Macaca mulatta: one gene and its partners. The protein of the gene in region 3 purifies or fractionates together with the protein of the main gene of each other region. This does not show direct contact. Links are inferred from orthologs where the notes say so. Each region holds a gene or a part of one and is shown on either strand. Other genes may lie near its edges. The genes, in order: TBP, USP22 and TAF9B.

Evidence for each region.
Region 1: the proteins of TAF9B (region 3) and TBP purify together in Homo sapiens (affinity purification with mass spectrometry; 3 studies listed by BioGRID and IntAct, with this or other methods). This does not show direct contact. The link is inferred for Macaca mulatta from reciprocal best matches to the Homo sapiens genes TAF9B and TBP.
Region 2: the proteins of TAF9B (region 3) and USP22 purify together in Homo sapiens (affinity purification with mass spectrometry; 3 studies listed by BioGRID and IntAct, with this or other methods). This does not show direct contact. The link is inferred for Macaca mulatta from reciprocal best matches to the Homo sapiens genes TAF9B and USP22.

The regions. Positions count from the first base shown.
Region 1 is NC_133409.1:1,483,954-1,487,609, forward strand, and holds part of TBP (TATA-box-binding protein), read right to left. Parts: intron 2,761-3,656; coding exon 2,673-2,760; intron 354-2,672; coding exon 262-353; intron 1-261. UniProt on the Homo sapiens protein: The TFIID basal transcription factor complex plays a major role in the initiation of RNA polymerase II (Pol II)-dependent transcription.
Region 2 is NC_133421.1:21,885,361-21,888,598, forward strand, and holds part of USP22 (ubiquitin carboxyl-terminal hydrolase 22), read right to left. Parts: intron 2,599-3,238; coding exon 2,536-2,598; intron 1,979-2,535; coding exon 1,829-1,978; intron 999-1,828; coding exon 956-998; 3' UTR 1-955. UniProt on the Homo sapiens protein: Deubiquitinase that plays a role in several cellular processes including transcriptional regulation, cell cycle progression or innate immunity.
Region 3 is NC_133426.1:84,378,923-84,382,169, forward strand, and holds part of TAF9B (transcription initiation factor TFIID subunit 9B), read right to left. Parts: intron 1,074-3,247; coding exon 963-1,073; intron 1-962. UniProt on the Homo sapiens protein: Essential for cell viability. TAF9 and TAF9B are involved in transcriptional activation as well as repression of distinct but overlapping sets of genes. May have a role in gene regulation associated with apoptosis.

The DNA of each region.
Region 1 (3,656 bases), on a different chromosome or scaffold from region 3:
GGAGTTTCACCATGTTGGTCAGGCTGGTCTTGAACTCCTGGCCTCAAGTGATTTGCCCGCCTTGGCCTCCTGGGATTATAGGTGTGAGATACCATACCTGTCCATATCTAATTTTTAAGAAAATGAAATCACTGGTATCTACAATTAATAGAATCAACCATTTTAATAAGAAAGCAGTAATAACATGTTAAAGTGCTAACCTAATAACCTAAAAACTCGTTCACAACCCATAAACCAGAAGAATGAATTTCTTACGGCTACCTCTTGGCTCCTGTGCACACCATCTTCCCAGAACTGAAAATCAGTGCCGTGGTTCGTGGCTCTCTTATCCTCATGATTACTGCAGCAAACCGCTAAAATAGAGAGAATCATTAGTGAGGTCATGCCAAACTGCTCAATTTTGTTAGGAGAACTACACATTGACAAATCACAACTGGTAGGAAGGACATAGTACATCTAGTTATCAAAATATTTGTCCTGTATTTCTGCGTATCTGTAAAGGATTTGCATACACCACATGTAACAAATATTCCTTTGCATAAGGAGCAGAAAATAATCAATTGTGACAAAGTTATACCAAGATCTGTATGTTCTTTCACATGAGCATTCCACCAACAGAAATGTTTGCAAAATTTGGTCATGTTCTCAATAAATACCAGTGCTTCGGTTTCTACTTTATATTTGCTGCTTATCATGACTATAGTTTCTCTAATGATAAATTTTGTTTTATTAATATAAATTTTGAGGCAAATAAACCAATAAACGTTTTCTACCTTAATGGAATTAATAAATCAGATTACAAGCATACCAGTATGTAATGAAGTAAAATCCTGCTTCCAATTGGCCTTTAGAAACAATATTAATGTATTAAACACATATAAATGCAAATTAGGAAAGAAACACAGTTTTAACTTTTATTTTCTGCTTTTTATGCTTGAAACACGTTAATTCTTTCAGAAAATTTTCTTGCTAAGATGGTAACTCATGGGGAAAATATTTCAACTGTGGGTTGAATTAATGGCCTCAGTTATTAGGTACATGATAAAAAGCAAGTAATTACTTTGAAACAACTTAAATATTTTAATACATTATATTTAATTATACAATAAAAACCTATGTATTTCTAATTGAGATGACTCTGACAAACTAGATTGTTTTAACAATTTTATTTTTTTAATTTATTAATTTTTTTTTTTAGAGACAGAGTCTCACTTTGTTGCCCAGACTGGATTGCAGTTGCCCAGACTGGAGTGCAGACTGGAATCATGGCTCACTGCAGCCTCGAATTCCTGAGTTCAAGAGATCCTCCTGTCTTGGCCTCCCAAGTAGCTGAGATTATAGGTGTGTGCCACCAACCCCAGATAATTTTTTAAATTTTCTGATGAAACAAGGTCTTGCTATGTTGCCCAGGCTTGTCTCGAAGGCCTCAAGCGATCCTCCCACCTTGGCCTCCCAAAGTGCTGAGATTACAGGTCTGAGTCACCGTGCCTGGCTTTTAACAATTTTAGTTTAAAAACTGCTCTATGTCTTCCCTGTGTTTTTATCAACATCTAAAAAAGCTAGCAGTGTATAGTAGTTTATCTAAGTCCCAGGAAAAGCCTAGCTATTTTGCATTTCCAGAATTTCCTCTACTATTTCTATTGGTTAAGTATCACTTCACTTAAGATCATAAAGTAATAAAATTATGTATTCAACTAAATATTATAATAGATGAAAGATTAATTCTTAAAATGCTACATGTCATACAGACTCATTATGAGTGGTTAAAAGGAGATTTTTCAGACCCCTAGCTTAGCTATCTTTCAGATCTTAGGCATTATGTTTCAGGGGTTTTAAAATGCACCCTAAGTCCATTACTAACACTTCTCTCAACCCAGCTAATGTTTATCCAAATTACTTTGCCTACTATAGCTGGCAAACATCATCCCTATACATATACAAAATTCTTCACATGATCCCAATACAATATATATGTAACTTAGCTTGTTTTATAGACTGCTGTATTCCCAGGGATTCTGATATCACAGACACTCAATAAAAGATACAAAACAATGCACATTTTACTTTAGATCTTCATTTTGTTGGTGTCAAGGAATAAGCATAACACAAACTCTTTGATATACAGATTTTTTTTTTTTGAGATGGAGTCTTGCTCTGTTTCCAGGCTGGAATGCAATGGCGCGATCTCCACTCGCAACCTCTGTCTCCCAGGTTCAAGTGATTCTCCTGCCTCAACCTCCCAAGTAGTTGGGATTACAAGCACAAGCCACCACTCCCGGCAAATTTTTGTCTTTTTAGTAGAGACAGGGTTTCACTATGTTGGCCAGGATGGTCTTGAACTCCTGACCTCAGGTGATCCGCCCACCTCGGCCTCCCAAAGTGCTGGGATTACAGGTGTAAGCCACCAAGCCTGGCCGATTTTTCTTTCTTTTTCTTTTTTTTTTTTTTTAAGAGACAGGGTCTTGCCATGTTGCCTGGGCTGGTCTTGAAGTCCTAGGCTCAAGCAATTCTCCCTCCTCAGCCTCTCAAAGTGCTGGGATTACAGGCATTAGCCACTGTGCCTAGAGTGATCTACAGACATTTGTTACATAGCGTGAAATACATTAAAATATAGAGACATGACAGAGAAGACAAAAAAGAAAAAAAAAGAAACACATTAAAATAGATCTAACCTTGGGATTATATTCAGCATTTCGGGCACGAAGTGCAATGGTCTTTAGGTCAAGTTTACAACCAAGATTCACTGTGGATACAATATTTCTGTAAGAAATTTAAAAAGAAAACATGACTATTTAAATTACTTAACCTTCACTGGATGAGGTGTTAGAAATTATGCACACATTTGATTATTTCAACCAGGCTTTAATTTTTTAAAATTGCTCACATTTATTGTTTAACAAGTATCATGCACATGTTGAGCATTTTATATAGATTATTCCATTTAATACTTATAATGCACTATGGTAGAAGCTACCAGTATTCCCACATTCGGATAAATAAGCTGAGGCTTAAAGGTAGTGCAACTTCCTCAGGATGCACATGGCTCCCAAGTGGAGGTGCCAGGATCTGAGTCTGTCTCCAGAGCCATGCCCTTAGCCTTCTCACAGACAAACTCATTTCTCACCTGTGAGCTCTGAAAAGCCACCACCACCACCACCCTACTCCTAAGTCACTTTTTTTCTTTTTTTTTTTTGAGACGGAGTCTCGCTCTGTCGCCCAGGCTGGAGTGCAGTGGTGCATTCTCGGCTCACTGAAAGCTCCACCTCCTGGGTTCATGCCATTCTCCTGCCTCAGCCTCCCGAGTAGCTGGGTCTACAGGCGTGCGCCACCACGCCCGGCTAATTTTTTGTATTTTTAGTAGAGATGGGGTTTCACCATGTTAGCCAGCATGGTCTCGATCTCCTGACCTCATGATCCGCCCGCCTCGGCCTCTCAAAGTGCTGGGATTACAGGCATGAGCCACCACGCCTGGCAAACCTAAGTCACTATTTATTATGAAAATGAGTTCTCTCAAAGTACGTATCTTTTGAAAAACAACAGCTAAGTGTCTTTAGCAAAAAAAAAAAAAAAAAAAAAGGCAAAACCCTGCTTTCTCTTCTAATTATCTCTCAGTAAATAAGGATAAACGGAGCCATCTGGGTCCACTGACCCTTTAC
Region 2 (3,238 bases), on a different chromosome or scaffold from region 3:
GCGGGAGGGAACCTATCAGACACCGGCAGAGGCTGCATTTACTCCAGCCTGAGATACCAGAGACACAGGATGAGCTGCAGCACGACTCTCCTCCACTGCGCTTACTGCCAGCCCCCAGCAGACACCAAGGCACCCAGAGGAGCCAGGCACACAGGGCGGGCAGCAACATAAACGGCACCGATTAAAAAGCAAGACTCGCACTCAAGACTAAAGGAGAAGTTATCTAAATTTCAGTATAAACTCAGTAATTCATTCACGTTACTAGTATTACATTTATGAAATTCACCTTTGTGGAAAAAGGAGAGGGAGAGGGATAAGAAAATGCCTGTCTTTAGAAAACTGCGAGATGCTTCCACGTGCAGCTTGATGCTAAGTTACCTGCGGAACAGACACGCTTGAAAACGCGACGTAGTATCCTTACTTCCGAAGCTCTGGAGGCTGCTTCACAGCCACTGAGAAAACGGAGGTGAAGAATTCCATACTCTCCGTATTTTAACACTAAAACATGAACAGAAAGGCATCTGCAAGGCCCTCTGTCCCACATACTACGCTGCTGTGTCTTCAGCTTACTGCTTCAATGGACCCATAATCTTACGGCAGGCAGGGGCCTTTCCACACCGAGTGCTGGGGAATGCCAGGCGGCGGCCACTCCGTGCTGTGAGGCCCCGGTTGCACCCCCATATCATGAGGATACAGGAGATGTTCTGGTGACGGGTGTACGCTGCTCCTCCCACCCAGAGCACACCCCTCATCTCATCCATCTTCAATGCAGCTCCGGGAGCCTCCCCGTCCGTGTGGTCCATCCCGACCCCATGGGTCCCAGGTGCAGACGGGCCACATCTGCATGGGAGGTGGTGTCACCAGGCCGGGGAGGCGGCGGGAGGCGGGAGAGGCAGGGAGGATCACTTTGTGAGGCTTGCGTTGCCTTTGTTTTTCTGACCAGCTACAGATAAGGCTACTCATATTCCAGGAACTGTTTGTGATAGAACAGCAAGTACCTGTGGAGGCAAAGACAGGGAGGAGTTTTCAAGTGGGTCCAGTCCAGATCCACCTCATCGCCCTGAAGGCTGTCCTTAATCCCAGATTCTTCCAAATAAAACCTCTCAAGAGGGCTTCCATGTTGCTCAGAATGTGAAGTGCAAAGCCCTCAGGGAGCTCATGGCAGCTGGGGTCCCCCGACCCCTGGAGGGTCAACAGGTTTCTATGCCATGAAGGAACGAAACTGGAGAGAAGAGAGGAGCTGATAAAGAACTGATGTGGGCCAAGCCCGGTGGCTCACGCCTGTAATCCCCATGCTTTGGGAGGCCGAGGCAGGAGGATTGCCTGAGGTCAGGGGTTTGAAATCAGTTTGGTCAACATGGAGAAACTCCATCTCTACTAAAATACAAAATTAGGCGGGCGTGGTGGCAGGTGCCTATAATCCCAGCTACTTGGGAGGCTGAGGCAGGAGACTGACTTGAACCCAGGAGGCAGAGGTTGCAGTGAGCCAAGATCGCACCATTGCAGTCCAGCCTGGGCCACAAGAGCGAAACTCCGTCTCAAAAAAACAAAAAAAGAAGAACTGATGTGTTCAGTTCACGCGGTTAAAAAACAACTGCTTTGATGTTCTCTGTGCTAAGGAAATGCCTCCAGAGAGGGCCTTTGCACAGGCACCTCTTCTGCCACCATCAAGGCTGGCATCCTATCCAGAACAGGCCTCATTACTTTGGTAAATGAAGGTCAACACCTTTGAGTGGTCCTAGGCTCAGACGTGGGCTGGTCTCAGCTATACCAGAGGGGAGAGCACCGTGGCCACTACAGGGCCTTCCTCCCACCCGACAGGACGCACCCTTCACTGTCCAGCACGTCCTTGATGCTGGCCTTGGTGATGATGGCATCGTCACACTTGAACCACTGGTCTTTGTGCTGCCGGATAAAGCTGGTGTAATGGCCACTCTCCAAGGTCCCTTGATGGTTAACAACAGCAAACAGGGAATACCTAGTGCGGGAGGAAAGGAGAGGGAGGGCGCAGGTGGCTCAACGCCGCCATTCGAGGCCATCACCATCAGAAACCAGGCAGCCCAGGGAAGGAGTGGGAGGCCTGTGGGCCTGGCTGTCAACCTCCAGGGCCTCCGGCTGATGCACAGGAGGCTGCAGGAACTAAGGGAGCCTGGTCACACTCCCTGGCTCTAGCCTGGGTCCAGGCGCTTCCTGGAACAGCATCTCGTGGGAGTGATGACTGCAGTCAGCAGTGGGGATCCTGGAACACCCCAGCCTTTCATTCTTTCTACCACCCCAAGGCAAGAAGAATGGACATCGAGCTTTCCAGATGGAACCTCCCTCCTGCCAGAGGCCAGGAGTGGGACTGGGCTCCTCCAACAGGAGGCAGCATTTGTGGCGCCGCGTGGAGCGGCCTTTCCTAGTGGAGCTGCGGGCAGCCAAGCGGGAAGCAGGTCAGTGGTGGGGGACCTGCGGGGTGCCCTACAGGGCAGACAGGAACCCACCCCAGCTCTTGGCCCGAGGCCTCGGACACCCACACCGCTGAGCACCACTTACTTGTTGTCATTGTTGAGACTGTCTGTGGGCTGCTGGTACTGTCCATTCATCCTGCTCTCTTTGCTGTAACAGACAACAGCAGTATTCAGCATCGTTAAAATCATCAGGCCCAGAGATACAAGCCTCTCCTGAAACTGACACTTATCCAGGCTTGGCCATGCAGACACTGCACCGGGCTGCGCTTTATGCTTCAGGTAGAAATCTCCCCAGGTTTCGTGAGGACACTGACACTCGAGCTGTGGAGGCCTCTGCCTCAGAGCACACCTGGGTCCTGGGGCCACCTGGTGTGGCCCCTGGTTCTTCCAAGATGGGTCCTGAATAGGGCTGGTGATGGGAGCTGGATCTGGAGGAATCTGAGTTTGGTTTGTGACAAAGTAGATGGTGAAGGCGCCCTTCCTCCCACATGTAAAGGGTTAGCGTAAAAGGGTAAGCTGAATCCATTTCACAACCTAGGCAGGTGCCTCCTCAAAAGGGACAAAGATTGCTGCTCATTGTTTCATGACCAGCACCTCTCCTAGTGAGACAGGGGAGAGGCGGTGCTGGGAACAGGAAGCCATGAGCATTGTTTACTGTATTTTCCCACGGCTGTGTTTGGCAGGAAACACTACGATCTTTGAGACCCTGACCTTAGAACAGTACCGTCACCTCCCTCAGTACGTGACCATCGTGGTCAGGCTGATGGCATGGAGCTCTGACTCTGGTG
Region 3 (3,247 bases):
CTAGTACAAGGTTGAAGAAGTTCTGTTGTATTTTAACAACCTAGAATTTCAATTTAGTCATGGGAAACTGCACTGGACTCATCATGCAACATACTACATAAAGGCCTATGTTCAAGGCCAGGAATCACTTCCCTAATAGGTCAGTATTTTACGTAAGTTATTTATTGTGTGCAGTTAAGTTTCAGAAGATGTGAAATCTAAACATACTTATTAGTAAACTGTGCTGACAGAATTCTACTTATTCCAGCTGTGTGTGTCTGTGTCTGTGTGTGTGTGTGTATCCTATGAACTAAAGGTACAGTTTCATTTGAATTTACATTTATGTTCTGGATTGCATACACATATTCATCACTAAGTTTTGTCGCTTTCTTGAGCTTTCACCTTAACTGCTTTTCCTTGAAGATGCCTTAGATTTGTGGATCCTGTTTAGTTCATGGTGTTCTTTGAAAATCTGATGAACACACTGACTACTCTTTTCCTCCTCCCCAAAACATTACACATATAGTAGTCCCCTGTTATCCGCAGTTTCAGCTACTTGTGTTCAACTGTGATCCAAAAATAGATGAGTACAGTACAGTAAGATACTTCGAGAGAGATCACATTCACATATATTTGATTACAGTATGTTGTTGTAATTGTTTTTTTATTATTGTTAATTTCTTGCTGTGCCTAATTTATAAATTAAACCTCATAATTTAGAAAGTTCATAAATTGAACTTTAAAGGTTGTAAATTTAACGGGGGGTCTTGGAACATAATCCCTCAAGATAAGGGGGGAGACTCTGTAAAATTTCACAGAATTTTAGAGGGCTCATAAGTCCCTCTGAAGAACCCTGATTTGCAGCATTACTGCCACCTTCCTGTTGGGATATTAAAACAATTTACCTCTTGCTATAGGAACACAAATGGTTCTACAATTTCAAATTATTCACAAATTCTGTTCCCTACCCCCGATCACATTACCTGGTTTCACAGGTGTGGACTGAGAAGGTGGAATCTGCACCGTAAATCTTTGGCTTGTCACTGACATTGGAGTTGCAACTTTATTTGGGACAGACACTGTTTGTGGGGTTGCTGTAGTTACAATAAACAGACCATGTTTGTTAGGTGATTTATACACATTTATATTCTACACTCAGCTTACCGCAAACTATCTTCAAAGCAAAGGAAACTAATAAAAGGTAAGGAAAAAGTCATTAAAAATAAGAGCAAAAGAACCTTAAAAAATTTACAAGCTTGCTTAGATGTTACAAAATTCAGTTTAGAATAGTGGTAAAGAATGTTGGCTCTGTAGCCTACCTGCTTGAGTTTGAATTCAGGCTCTCACCTACTAGCTGAGTGTCCCTGGGCAAGTTATTTAAATTTTTGTGCCTCAGTTTTCTCCTCTGTAAAATGGGGGATAATATCACCTATTTCATATAATTCTTGTGAAAATTAAGTAAAACTAATCCCTGTAAAACTCTTCAAACAGCATCTGTTACATAGTAAGCACTGAGGTTTAGCTGGATGAAGACATAAAGATGAGAGTTTAACCTACCAGAATAAAGACCCAGGTTTTCTATTTATTACCTTAGTTGGCACTTTTCATCTTGGTCGCTTGCTGAGAATCAGAAGATGTCATCTATGCCCATGAAACTAAAGCAGAGATCAAATATACCCCTTGAGGTCTCCAGGTGGGCCCAGAAAATTTATTCCCTTTCTGTGTTCGGATACTTAAGCAGAAAAATATCTTGGAGATAACCTAGTCTAAACCCCCAATCATCTAAATTCTACCCATTATTCCAAGGTACAACTCAAATACTACCCCGTTTTATAAAACTTTCCTTAATTTTCTCAGTTAAATGTCTTATATTCTGCCTCTGAAGTTCCCTTAATGTCATAGGAGTCATGATTATTATCTTATCTCACTGACTAGATTACAAGCTTGGTTAACATTTTTCATCCTTGTGAGCACACGGCTCTTTTACCTTGCTCCTAATAGCTACTCAACAAATGTTTGCTTAATAAATGTATTTTGCAAGACTCGAAGACTTAATATATATACTGACATCATTGCTCTCTCAAAAAATACATTTATGGAAATGTATCCATTTCCAATTTTTCATTTGGGGATGCAGGCTATCCAATACATCCCTTCCCCCTGGAACCAGCAGCCTACCCAGAGAGAGAGTTGCTGAGGACACTACAATTATCATTTCTAGAGAAAAAGGTGCAGAAAGTCTAAGGGAAGAAAGCTCAAAGGTACCGAGAAATCTGGGTTTTACTGCTTTCTCTCCCAAACACAGAAGGTGAGACCTTCCTCTAAAATATCTCCATCCCTAAGTAAGTTTTCCCATGTATTAAGGATCAGTCCAAAGAATTTGGTGAAGCGTAATGAAGCAATGTAAGTATTTTATTTTATAAAGAAAAAAGAAAATTCACAGTAGGTGAATGTTTTCTTGGCCTTAGGATTGTTAATACATTTAAGCAGGTATGGAGTTCAGGCTTTAAAACTGAACACATTAGACTGTAGATGGAGCCTCCCCAAATTGAACAGAGTAAATACTCAGGTCTTAAGGTCTATATAGATCATTTTAATTTTTTTTTTTTTGAGACAGAGTCTTACTCTGTCGCCCAAGCTGGAGTGCAGTGGCATGACCTCCGCTCACTGTAACCTCTGCCTCTTGGGTTCAAGTGATTCTCGTTCCTCAGCCTCCCGAGTAGCTGGGATTACAGGCACCCCTCACCATGCCCGGCTAATTTTTGTATTTTTAGTAGAGACGGGGTTTCACCATGTTGGCCGGGCTGGTCTTGAACTCCTGACCTCAAGTGATAGGCCCGCCTCGGCCTCCCAAAGTGCTGGGTTTACAGGCATGAGCCACCGCACCTGGCCAACTCATTTTAATTTTTTTTAAAGTTTAAAACTTGCATCTTTAGGCCTGGCGTGGTGGTTAGTATTAAAAACAGTTTTTTTCTTTGAGATCCTTAAGATTTTTGTACATCTTAATCTTCTACTGTATTCTCTTATCTATTTGGAAATTTAAATTTCTAATAAGCAGTCTACTGCCATAAGTGTGTGTGGCACCTTATAGAAGGCACAAAGTACACAGCTAAGAGTAAACTCCTGTTTTTGGTATCAGAGTTTATACCACCAACAGTGGGGGCAATGTCCAATTTTATACTCATTTGAGATCAGACGTTCCTTGTGGCTTTCTCATTTTGAAAGCCAGTAACATGTATGTTTATAGTTTTATTAGAGGATGAGTAAA